Daphnia pulex: one gene and its partners. The protein of the gene in region 2 purifies or fractionates together with the protein of the main gene of each other region. This does not show direct contact. Links are inferred from orthologs where the notes say so. Each region holds a gene or a part of one and is shown on either strand. Other genes may lie near its edges.

Region 1 (4,376 bases), about 1.3 Mb from region 2:
TCTCAACATCCCATACACGTAACGTTGCATCCCGTGACCCGCTCACCACCCTACATTCATTTTTGATCAAGGAAAACAGTTGAATTAGTAAGAGTGCTTGCTACAAATATCTGATAAAAAGACTGACTTATTTCCGTGTAAATGCATGCAACGGACAGTGGAGGTGTGGCCGTATAATGTGTGCAAACACTGTCCAGACTCAGCGTTCCAGACTTTTAAGGTTCTGTCTGTACTCCCGCTGACTATAATATTTCCCTGCATTTGAGAGGACCAAACGCCTCCCGTATGTCCCTGCAGAGTCCTCATGCACTGTTGAGTGAAATGACAATTAAATGGTTGTCTGTTCTTAAGACATTTCGCGTTTTTAAAGTCTTTGTCCTGTCTAGGCAGAAAGCCCAATGAATTACCTTTCCCGTAGTAGCCGACCAGACTTTGAGCGTGTTGTCATCCGATCCCGAAACGATGCGGTTTCCGCAAAACTGTAAGCAGGTGATGACGTGATCGTCATGACCTTTCAATACCCTTGGCTGTGGGATCGGCCTCACTCGCCAATTCAACTCAATATTTCGGTGACGCATATAAGTCGCCTGAAAATGCAACGAATCAATATTATCTTGCAACCTATTAACGTTTAAGCCAGATTGATCTATTCACCTTCCAGGGTGACGGAGTAATAATTGGTGCATTGTTTTGGCTAGATCCGGTGGGGGAAGAAAGACCACAACTGAGAGATGAGTGGTGGGAAGATCCGCGAAGACGTCGCTTATTTAGAGTATCACGAACGTCATCGATACCCGCTTCACGACATTTTTCTCGCCAGAGGAGATTATCTTCAGCCAAGACTCTCCAACAACGGCAGGTTTGTGCGGCGCGAGTCAAGTCGCGAGGCGTGAGGAAACTGAGAACATACAGAGCCAGTTCTTTGGGCAGCAGCGATATGAAATCGCGTTGGAACTGTGGTTCAATAACAGCCATCATGTGACGGACCTGAGTGGGTTCACACAGCTCTATCAGTTGGTCAATGGCACATAAACGCTCAGCGTTCGACCAGTACTGCAATGATAACAAATGGTTTTTCTTAGCAATGAGTTAGTGGTTGAGAGAATGACGAAAAATACTTGGAACGTGTGAAGCCACTGGCAAAATCCTGGCGGAGGATTGTCTTTCGAGGGAATCGGATTACGGTGAACATGGCAGTAGATTGACGAGGAAGATGAATCAACACCTTCACCCCTTCGACATGTTTTTTTCTCCGTGGCTACTTCAGCTGCCATCTCAGCTGTCGACTCCGACTTGCGCTTGGTCTACAACACACCACCTTAATTAAATTCATGTTCTTAATAACAAATAAGTGTTGGATAAACTTACAGCTCCTGGTCTGGCGACGTCATCATTCTCCGAGGTGGGTGATTCCTCTTTAACGGATACATTGCTGGCGTCGTTGGCAGGAGCAGTAGGTGTCGATGATGTAGGTGTTGTGGGGAGAGGAGGAGGCGATTGAATGATGCTATCGTTGCTCCGAGTCTGTCGAAGCGAAGGCGATTTGCCAACGGGCAGTGGATTTATTCTGCTTGTTGACCGGCGCTGCCTCAAACGGCAAGCACCCCATTCGTTGCTGCTGCTACTTCCACTGTCGTTTTGCTGGTCTTCTGTCGCGTTATCACTTGAACTAGATATCACTGGTGTGGTGCTCGGAGTCGGTTGAGCGCTTGTATTATCACTGCTTCTAGGGCAACAACAAAACATGTTTAGAATCAAATGACGCATTTTTGCCTAATCCAAAGAACAAAGGCTTAGATAAGAGTAACAATAAAGAAATATACCTACACTAATAGCAAAACCATGAGAAGGGGGTATAAATTTAGTATTGTATAACACTATTTACCTGCTCCGAGTGTTGGCTTTTCTTGCATTCACCTGAGACGACTGAGCTGGTACTGATATTGTTAGTATCTGACGATTGGCTTCAATCAAATTTGTCCCCACACCTGGAGCCAGACTTAGATCTTCGATGGATGTAAATCCTCCAAGGGACTACAAAGGAAAAACACATGTCAAAACCATATAAAACACACTGGTGTTGGGTTAATCCTAAACTTACATTTCTGGTTTCCACAATGGCTTCAGCTCTGCTGCGTCCAACTCCAACCAAGGTGGAAAGCTCTTCAACAGTAGCCACATTGATGTCTACCAGGTTTCTCTGAGCTAGACTTTCATTAGCAGTGTCGCCCATGCCCCTCCCACTACTCCGTCCTCTGGACGCTGGCATAAATTATTTCTGCTGGGTTTCTGACTGCTACGTAAGCTAGAGATTGAGAAGCTGAGCTATTACTAGGAAACCAAAACACAGCTGCCTAGACAACAACTCATATCCTCAATTAAACACTAGTCATCTCATCTGCCAAGAAAGAAGATTCAATGTTGTTAATAAAGGTTTCTTTTTATAACAATAATGAAACAAAGCAAGAATGATTCACACTTACCGTCGATAAAAATCCAGTGAAAAGTGCAGCGAAAATTATAATGGCGTTACGAGTCAAAAAGTGCAATCAAAATAAAAGTAGAATCTTTTTAATGATATGGGCGAGGGCTTGATAGTGTGTAGTGTTTTGGGAACAAGGGCAGACCTTTAAAATGCGATTTTGAAAATATTCCGCAAGCACGGGTGGGCAAAAACAACTTAATCAAATAAAGGATTTAAAATAGAAAAAATCTAGCACTAAAATGATTCGGGCATTTCGATTTCACAAAGAGCGTAAATATAGAAAAAAATTTGTACACGAGGATCAGCATCAAAGAGAATTTTGTTTCACACGAATGGTGAAGCCGAGACAGACAACGATATATGCTGGACTAAAAAGCGTTGCCAAATTGCTTGTTAACATTTCCCAGTTGCTGGACGCGCCCTGTGGTCGTCATCACATGCGCTTTTTTCTTTATTTCGCTTAGAATCTCGTAGCAAAACCCACTTGACACGTTTACAGTGTTACTATCGAATTTATAGTGGTAATTATTATCCTTTTTTAAACAACAAAGCTAGGCGGTTTTTTAAAGGCCAATACGTGGGCCTACCTCATTTCATCTTTCCCGCCTTTCTTTGTACATACATCCCCCACCCTTAATAATATTTTTGTATTGCATTACTATCAAAGAGTATTATATCATATTTTTTTTTAAGTTTCTAACTGTTCAGTTCTTGAAACTTCAACGGATCATCATCGCTATTCATCGTTCCCCCTCCTGAAATGTCCCCCTTGAATCTCTTCATACCATCAGCCCTTTACAGATCCAACTGAATTAAAGCCACAATTTCAATAACAATGGAAGTTTTGGTGCAAATTGTTTCTCAAGCATTTCAACTCTGTTGAAAACGTTACTGCGTAATGTTGAGTTCTAGTTCTCTCATACGGTTGGACGAAAGTTGAACCCGATTCAACCAATAGCCAGTTAAGTATTCATCCAACTAAATTGTGTATCTATATTTTTGTACACATTATAGCAGCTACGCAGTGTTAAAGGGCGCCCGAATCTTGCTTTTTCTAGCTATCGCTAGATGACTCGCGATGAATTATAAACGTTCGATATAAGAAATTCAAACTGCTACTTACGCGATATCTCGCAGGTTTTTTAAAAGTTGAAGGTTCGTCCTCATTAATAATATAATTGTAACAAATTTTCGTTTTTCTCTGATTGTTACAATATTCAATTCCGTTTATTGCCCCATGACATTCAAAATTTCTCGGATTCGGAGTGATAGCTGCTACCGTATTAGCATTAACTTTTCAAAAAGATCATTAGTAAGCGCAGCACAAAACATTCGGTGATCTTGTGTTGAATGTTGAATTCGCTCTTTCATCGGGCATTATCGTCGCTTCCCCAGTCATGAAAATAGGTCGCTCATTGAATTGCCAAGAAACTTTGATGCACATTTTGTGTGGGCATTGAGAAATCTATATATTTTTTAATAAACCAGCAATTGGTCTTTGACCGGTTCATTTAAGTGCAGAAGCACCGGATTGAAGAGGTGTGAGGTTAGGCGCGCCTATTTAAACAATGGAGTCGTCGTTGCAGCTAACGAACATACGTTGCGTCATTTGATAGTGTTCGATTGTGAATGACGAACGAGACCAACATGCGCTACGGTTTACTGGGTCTGTTTTATGTTGAAACTATTTTATATTGAAAATGTTATTTGAAATGTTAAACAGGCACATGGACTCAACACGTGAACGATATAAAAATCTACACATCGGACGTACGTCAATGAATCCATAAAGATAGTTTTTTTAAAAGATTATTGGGATTAAGGATATGCGTCACTTGGATCAAATGGAACCGTATGACCGTGTCAGGTTTGATAGAGAAATAATCTTTAT
Region 2 (4,056 bases):
TCATCCAGAAATTCGGCCAAAATCTTTTCACATTCCAACTGTAAAAATAAAAATCGACCAAAAAATTTAATAACAAACCATAAATTCAAATAGAAGAAAAAGATTACCTCTTCAATAACTGTAAGAGAATCCATCAGATAACAACCAACGGTCGAATACAGACGCATACGGCTATTATTAAATTCGCATTGACAAAACTGATTGCTAGTGGGCTTGTAGAATTGCATTACCCGACGGAAAATCGATCTCAAATTCGAATCTTCCAACGCGCAAGAATTCATCTTACTCCACTAATAATAAATCAATAACAAGTTTATACAAAATTCGATTATTTAAGAAAAGATGGATTTCTATGAGATAATCTTTACCAAGAAAAGATTGGATAAAACGGACCAGTTCCAAATCAATGAATCTTTTTGCGCCAGGACTCCACAGTCTCGAGAAAGTGCTGAAAGAACGCTATCAGAATCTCTGCTGGATCTCATCTACAAATTCCAAATTTTTAAAATCTGATTTATTTTATAATGGGCGAACACAAATTCATACCTCTGATTCCATTTCTCCATTGGTCTGAAACTCCGTCTCGTCTCGATGGATGTTGGTTGCATTCTCCTCAGTTTTCTTGTATCTCACGGAGGAGTGTTTGTTGCACGATGCTCTTCTTTCTAATTCAACGATTTGTTTAAGAGCTAAACTGTAGGGAACGATTCCTTTTTTCTTAAGTTGGTGAATTTTGGAGAGGGCTGCTGCTGCTTGGGCGGCTCGGTGGCGTTTCACTGGGTCGCTTTTAAGTGACGTAATGCAGTCAACTAATTGAGGCAGACACATTTTTGTCCCGTGACAGGAGGGTGGCAGCAAAGTACTACTTAAATGCAATAACTCTCCTAAAAAGGAACAGATTCATAATTTAATAATAATAGTTAATATTTATTATATTATGCGAGAGTGTACCCAGCAAAATTGTTGCTCGGACCGATATAAAAGTGTCACTTGTCGTAATTACTTCCACAAGTGTCTGGACTAATCTGGCTTCAACCAAGCAGTAAACCAACAAGGCCATATGGTTTAATACAAGATTTGGTCTGAATTTGGAAATGTGCGGTAGTAGACATTTGCCTTCTGCAGCTACATAGCCTTCCTGCAGCTTCCAGGCGTCCTGTACACGGGACGGATCAGTAGCTAGAAGCGCTACGGAAAATTCGTCCGTCCATTCCGGCAGTGGTAACCGCAGAAGTGTATAGAAGAATTCCAACATTGATTTCTATATGAAAATGTAATTGTCATTTAATTATAAACCACCAAGCTATCCAATCAAGATGAAAGAACTTGCCCTGGTTTCCAAGTGACATGGGAGCAAGACTTTGACTAGGTCTTCAAGAATTTTGCAGCTCATAACATGTAATACTCCATTCCAAGACCTAAGAACTGTAAGCAGTGCTTGCTTAGCGCAGAGTAGACGAAGCTCACGATCATCTGTCGTAGTAGATGAATTGTTTCCTTCTCCTGCATCTATGTAGTGTCTATAGTGGAAATCACTATAGGGAGCAATCAGAAATCGCAGGTTTAATTTCGAAAGCTCACGTCGCGGCTCTGTGTCGAATAGGTAGAGTAGGGATGCCATCATAGCTTCTTGCATACGAGCAGAGGAGCAATCTAAAACAGCAGATGAGAAACATCGAACACCTCCGCTGGCAACGAACACGGATGGGTTTACGATACCTATAAATGGATTGAATTCAATGGATTGATGTCTTGATTTGGCTTTTAATAGAAATAAACCTTACAAAGTTCAGCTAGAATAGCCAAAGATGCTCGTACTAAACGGTCCTTTTCTTTGGTGCCATCAAAAGCAAGAGCTACAATTGAACGCGCCAGAGCAACAGGGAATGATGGTGGATCAACCAGCATCAATCTCCTACATAATCTCAAGGCTTGAGCACGTTCTGCCATGTTATCCACGAGCACATCCAGACACCTATTAGAGAACCAAAAGATATAGCTTAATATGCTTGTTCCTCTATATTTCATTCTTTATAATACTTTGCAATGAAGTAATGAAGATCTGCTTGAACCAATTTTTGTGCATATTCTTCATTTTTTAAGCACAGTCTAATTATCCTTAGACCAGCAGCTCTTACGGCTTTGCTGTCGTTGATCAAAGCAATTCGTAGACTGGAAAAAAAAGGATCTTTCAATACTGATACACAACAAAGTATATAACTCTTCTTTTGAGACCATATAAAAAAATCCAAAATGTCCAGTCCAATGCTGTCACAGCCTTTCTTCTCAATATGCTTTGAGATTACATTTAAAACCGATCCTATGTGTTGAGGTTTGCCAAGGGTAACAACATCTTTGCAGCACATTTGCAGCAAAGCATCCTTAATGCTGGGAGTCAGGTCTTGACATTTATAGTACAAGGAAGTCAGTCACCAATAAAACATAATAAAGTATTTGTCTATAAATTTGTAGTTTACCAGTTTGAGGGTTACCATTCACAATTGCTGAAGAAACTAGCACATCTGAAGTAGCATTTACTAGATGAAGAAACAGGATTCAAGATTAAATATCAAACAATGTAGAAAGCTTGCACACAAAACAGAAATACTGTAGGAAAATTAATTTCCTATAGTAAAACAAAAAAAATAAATAAAAATTTACGTTTGACAGTTCGCCCCAATCGTCGAGGCACCTCCATTTTCGAAGGTTGACAAACAACTGAGAGAATAAACGCGCGCGATTGAACTTTTTTGAATGCGAAACGTGTTCTCCCGTTCTATGAAGCAATCTAGATTACTAATAAGGGCTATGTTATGTATCACAAGAGAATGAATATAGCGTATTTGAAAGTTCCATTCACAACATAAACTTTTTAATTGATAATTTTTTTATAAAAGTCCATTATTAGAGAAAAATTTCTTTCACAAAAAATTAACATATATATTTTTCTTCTGAAAACGCGATCCATGAATATGATTTTAAAGTATTTTTTTTTTGTAAATATTAAAAAAAGCTTGTAAGATACTTGCGCATTGATGGATAGTTCAATTATTATTACTTTTACACCTTTACACCTGAAGAACCGGTATTAGCTAGTGAATAATCAGGTTGCTGACGGTAATATATTCTTCTGTGAAACGCGTAGCAAAGATTATGCCATCAGACAGCTGACAACTTTTTACCAAAAATCTTTTCAAACAAGATTTTATTAAAAATAATTTAATACTAATTAGTATAAAATAATTAATATGAAGACATTGCTTTTGAAATCGTGTATTTATTACGGCTCTGCTGGGCCCTGCTGATAAACATATTATAATCTTACGCAATTATGCGTTGAAGGATAATTTGGTAATTTTAGTTTGTATTTCGTAGCCAATGCAGGTGCAATAAAACGACCCCCTAAAAAATGGATCCCGTGGAAAAATCTTGCGCACCTGCCATAATCGACTTTAATTATTTTTGAACCAGAGATAATATGAACGTGAAGTAAATACTGTACAATTTCGGCGCAGACAAAGAAATAAGCATGGCTGGCTTTAAGGAATTATCTTGATCAAGTGGCCCATTTTCAACATCCCAGCCTGCAAGTACCAGACAATATTTAATAGCACACTTGTATGTATGAAAAATGCTAGCACAATAAGAACAAATGAATTCCTGTACCACTGGGAATATCAATACTGCAGCAGGGTGTAGACATGTGTAGCATATTGTCAATAATCTCAGTGAATTCCTTTCGGACAGGAGCTTTGAAGCTAAAGCCAAATAGTGCATCGACAACAAGTGAGTATTTTGAATTCAAGTCTTCAGTAGTTGGGCATGCTGTTAAAAATGGGATTTCAAACAGTTCACACTGCTTTGTAAGATTTTCATAGAGAGTCTTGGCTGTACGCTTGGGATAGAAGATTTCAGGACAGTAGCTATAAAAGAAATAAGAGACATGTAAAAAAAACTGCTGCTGCAAGTACCTCAGATTATAATACCCAAACATTTTCAAATGTCTTGCACAAACAAGTCCATCTCCTCCATTATTCCCTGGACCTACAACAATCA
Region 3 (3,538 bases), about 2.2 Mb from region 2:
ATCTGTTAGCTGCTATTATTGGTCGCTAGATGCCAGCACGCATGTGGAGTCTTGGCACTTTTTACGGAATCAAACATCAGAGGTCGACATGAGATTAATGCGACGACCAACCCGGTCCACCGCATTGGTGGTTTAAGTGATGGGACATTCAAGTGATGGAAAACCAACTGATAAAAAAAGGAGCGGAAGAAAGATGTTTGGAAAAAACAATGGCCGGCACGGGAGCGATCAAGTCCATCCTCGGTGCCCTGAATTCGGTAATCTCATCAAGAATCGAGGCTAGTGTCCAACTAAGGAGATTAATACTGATAGATGAGCCCCACGTTCGTTGTACGCGAGACTATTCCCTTCTCCTTTCTGCTGGACTGTAGAAATGGATGACTTGACATGAATAGAGGAGGATAGGGCGCTTGGTTGCTTCCATTCGGCTGAAATTCGTCACGCCATCCCAAACCCATTACGCCCGACTGATTGAATGTTAATCCAATTTGACGTTGACGTTTGTCTTGAGATTGAGGGGGCCAAAGCCAATACGACACAAGATAGGTGAGTTGATTCCCGCTCTACCAAATGAATCAACCTCTACAAGTGAGGTGGGACGGTACCATTAAAAATTCAGGCGTTCCTAAGTGTATCAAAGCCAATGAAAAACATTTTATACATTTGAGAAAAATAGAAGAAAAAAAAAAACCAAAAAAAAGGGAAAATTATGGTAAAATGTTCAATTTACGGTGTCCCGTCTTGAAATGCCAATGAGGTAAGAGCTTTTGAATGACCAATGTATTCTTTAGCTATCTCGCTCGTTTCTATACTCCACAGCCTTGCTGTGTTGTCGGACGAAGCTGGATAAACGAAATGTTTCATCAAGACAGGCAGACAAAACCAGGATGAAGAATAGAAGAGTCAAGTACCTGTTATTGCGTATTGTGAATCGGCAGAGAAGGCAATGTCCCACACCCAGCGCTGATTTTCAGTTTGCAGTGTGGAATGAAGGGAAAAATCGGAAGTCTTCCATAACTTGGCCGTTTGATCGGCTGACGTCGTGGCCAAGTACCTGCGAGATCAATTGTAAGATTGAAAAAGAAATTCAAAGAAAACGAGGCGAACGTATACTTTGCGTCAGGGCTGAATTTGCATTTGAGACCGTAACGTTTGTGAGCTAACAAACGGCTTTTCGGTCGCAACTGTGTTGGTGTCGAACCTTCTTCGCCGTCCGGCAGTTTAGTCCCAGGGATGAGGCTCCAAACATAACAGTTTCCCTTTATTTGTGTAGAGAGAGAAAAGGAAAAAAAACATCTCAAGACTTGGTTGGGAAACTAAGAATAAACATCAATAATGGGCACCTTGTTATTAATGGCTGCCATGAAGTTTGCAGAAGAATCAATGGAAATGTCTTGAATGGAGGCATCTTGTTCTGGAATCTGTAAGTATTTGATTGATATTATTATGGAAATGGAAATACTTGAGGTATCAATACTAACCAGTTGTTCATTGTGATCTGTTCTCAGGTCCCTATATAAGCAATCCATGTGTTACAATCATTCCCAACAGAATAAGAAAGGTACGTAAAATCTCACCAGATGTGGATGACACCACTTTGGTCTCCTACCAATAGTTCACCTTGATTAGGATGCAAACAAACACAATTTACAGGGGCAGTGACTTGAAATATTCTGGAACATTGCAAATTTCTTGTCCTAGAATGACACAAATGAGAACTCAATCAAACTATGTTTTTTCCAATAATACGAGGAAACATGATACCTAAGATCCCAAACTCTTGCAGAACAGTCTTCTCCTCCAGTGTACATCCAGTGTCCATCTTCGTGAAATCCAACAGCAGTCACATTTCGTGAAATACCTTCATAATTGACTATGGGATTGGGGTTAGAAGAGTTGATTTCATACATGCGAATATGTTGGTATCCTGCAGCTGCCAATAGCTGGCTGTCGGGGGTGATATCGAGAGCATTCACTTGCGATTCGGGATGTGTTACCGTCCGGGTACACACTCCCGAGTGGGCTTGCCAGAATTTAATTGAGTGATCATAACCTCCTGTAGCTAATATAACTTGATCTCCATTATTATTACCCATAAGGTTTTATTATATTGTTTGACGTTTAAGTCAAACCAACAAAATAAATTTCCTTATTGTTTTTCTTCTGAAATCACTCTACTAGCAGACGACGATCAGAAACTCAAACTACGAGCCCAAGGCCGCATTGCCAAATTACGAAAGGTATGAAATTAAAAAAAAAGAAGAGAAATTTTTAAGTTTTAAATCACATTTTATTGAACCGACAAGATTTCAACAATCATTTCTTCTTGTACAGACACAGGTATTTCTTCTGAATGTAGCAACATTATTTCAGGTGTAGGCGATACGGACTCAGTGAAGTGGGGTAAGGCAGGACATTCATTTTCCACATTTGTTTGTTCCATGAAATTTGATTCGGCGGAGACGTTTTGTGGATCCGGTTGCGTTGATTTATTAGAATCACCGAGATCTGTTTTTTTCATGATTCTTAAGAGTGTATTCTGACTCGGTAGGGGAAGAATGCCTTCGGATCTTAAATGCTTGTACGCCGAAGAACTTTTGTTTCTGATTCGTAAACATTCTTTGAGAAATTCGGGATCGTAACGCATTGCGCTGAATCGATCGTTTCTTCCAGGATTCACTGTTGCTTTGGCCATCATTGTTTTAACAACTAGCTGTTCCTAAAAGTGAGTAATTCTTGTAAATTAGCTGAAAAGAGAAATTTGACATATCAATTAATCATTACTTTGGGCTTTAAAAGCTTTAATTTCACATCAAAGCTATTCCAGTAAAGCTTCTTCCTTTCATTGCGCAAACCTTCTATGGTACCTGAAAGAGCCTGAAATTCAGAAAGAACTATTAAAGGATTATTCCGAGAAAAAATCCAACAATAATTTACCTCAATTTTAGAATTTGATCGTGTCAACCTTTGCTTGGTGGAACGCAACCTCGATTTATAATCTTCTTTCGAATTTTTCAATTTCTTGGTCTTCTGATTATTTGTACTTCTCTTCAAATAATTTTTAAAAACGCGGCATTTTGAACAGAGAGCGGAAGCAGGAGGGTTTGCAATTCCCATGCACATTTTTGAGCGCCACAAATTGCCTTCCTTGATACCAGCACATTTACCCGTCACTTCGGTATCTGCTAGCGAATCATCCACAATTCCTTGACATGTTCTTCTGTAATTGAAATCTTCAAGAATATTTGCTAAATCAGCTTTACTTCGAAACTCAAATTGCATATCTGGAGGCGTGATGGGTTTTCCATTCAGATACAACGCAACTTTGGTCATGGTGACAATTTTAACAGATTTTATAGTCATCACACCGTCATGGGAAAAAATATGACAAGAACAAACTAAATTGTTGTTTCGTTCGTTGAAGGACCAAGTCCATTCAGCTGTAGGAGTAACGACACCATTAATGAAGTTGTGGTAACCCGCCATACCCAAATGGAAACTTTCCTCCTCATTCACAGTAGGGGTCGAAGAAGAACGA

What was found.
Region 1: the proteins of rapamycin-insensitive companion of mTOR-like (region 2) and F-box/WD repeat-containing protein 7-like purify together in Homo sapiens (affinity purification with western blotting; 3 studies listed by BioGRID, with this or other methods). This does not show direct contact. The link is inferred for Daphnia pulex from reciprocal best matches to the Homo sapiens genes RICTOR and FBXW7.
Region 3: the proteins of rapamycin-insensitive companion of mTOR-like (region 2) and target of rapamycin complex subunit lst8-like purify together in Homo sapiens (affinity purification with western blotting; 14 studies listed by BioGRID and IntAct, with this or other methods). This does not show direct contact. The link is inferred for Daphnia pulex from reciprocal best matches to the Homo sapiens genes RICTOR and MLST8.

Annotation. Positions count from the first base shown.
Region 1 is NC_060019.1:12,535,781-12,540,156, reverse strand, and holds the start of F-box/WD repeat-containing protein 7-like, read right to left. Parts: upstream 2,862-4,376; 5' UTR 2,484-2,861; intron 2,399-2,483; 5' UTR 2,270-2,398; coding exon 2,102-2,269; intron 2,035-2,101; coding exon 1,886-2,034; intron 1,727-1,885; coding exon 1,369-1,726; intron 1,305-1,368; coding exon 1,119-1,304; intron 1,054-1,118; coding exon 655-1,053; intron 588-654; coding exon 408-587; intron 310-407; coding exon 128-309; intron 51-127; coding exon 1-50. UniProt on the Homo sapiens protein: Substrate recognition component of a SCF (SKP1-CUL1-F-box protein) E3 ubiquitin-protein ligase complex which mediates the ubiquitination and subsequent proteasomal degradation of target proteins.
Region 2 is NC_060019.1:11,217,636-11,221,691, reverse strand, and holds the start of rapamycin-insensitive companion of mTOR-like, read right to left. Parts: upstream 2,832-4,056; 5' UTR 2,699-2,831; coding exon 2,662-2,698; intron 2,538-2,661; coding exon 2,478-2,537; intron 2,402-2,477; coding exon 2,236-2,401; intron 2,173-2,235; coding exon 2,041-2,172; intron 1,976-2,040; coding exon 1,785-1,975; intron 1,720-1,784; coding exon 1,331-1,719; intron 1,262-1,330; coding exon 952-1,261; intron 885-951; coding exon 547-884; intron 486-546; coding exon 369-485; intron 291-368; coding exon 108-290; intron 39-107; coding exon 1-38. Other genes in the region: NAD(P)H-hydrate epimerase, read right to left, coding at 3,314-3,437, 3,503-3,584, 3,667-3,923, 3,987-4,056. UniProt on the Homo sapiens protein: Component of the mechanistic target of rapamycin complex 2 (mTORC2), which transduces signals from growth factors to pathways involved in proliferation, cytoskeletal organization, lipogenesis and anabolic output.
Region 3 is NC_060019.1:9,055,886-9,059,423, forward strand, and holds target of rapamycin complex subunit lst8-like, read right to left. Parts: upstream 2,209-3,538; 5' UTR 2,097-2,208; coding exon 1,765-2,096; intron 1,698-1,764; coding exon 1,578-1,697; intron 1,513-1,577; coding exon 1,482-1,512; intron 1,422-1,481; coding exon 1,344-1,421; intron 1,260-1,343; coding exon 1,114-1,259; intron 1,055-1,113; coding exon 912-1,054; intron 843-911; coding exon 727-842; 3' UTR 603-726; downstream 1-602. Other genes in the region: uncharacterized protein LOC124191397, read right to left, coding at 2,291-2,719, 2,785-2,877, 2,938-3,538.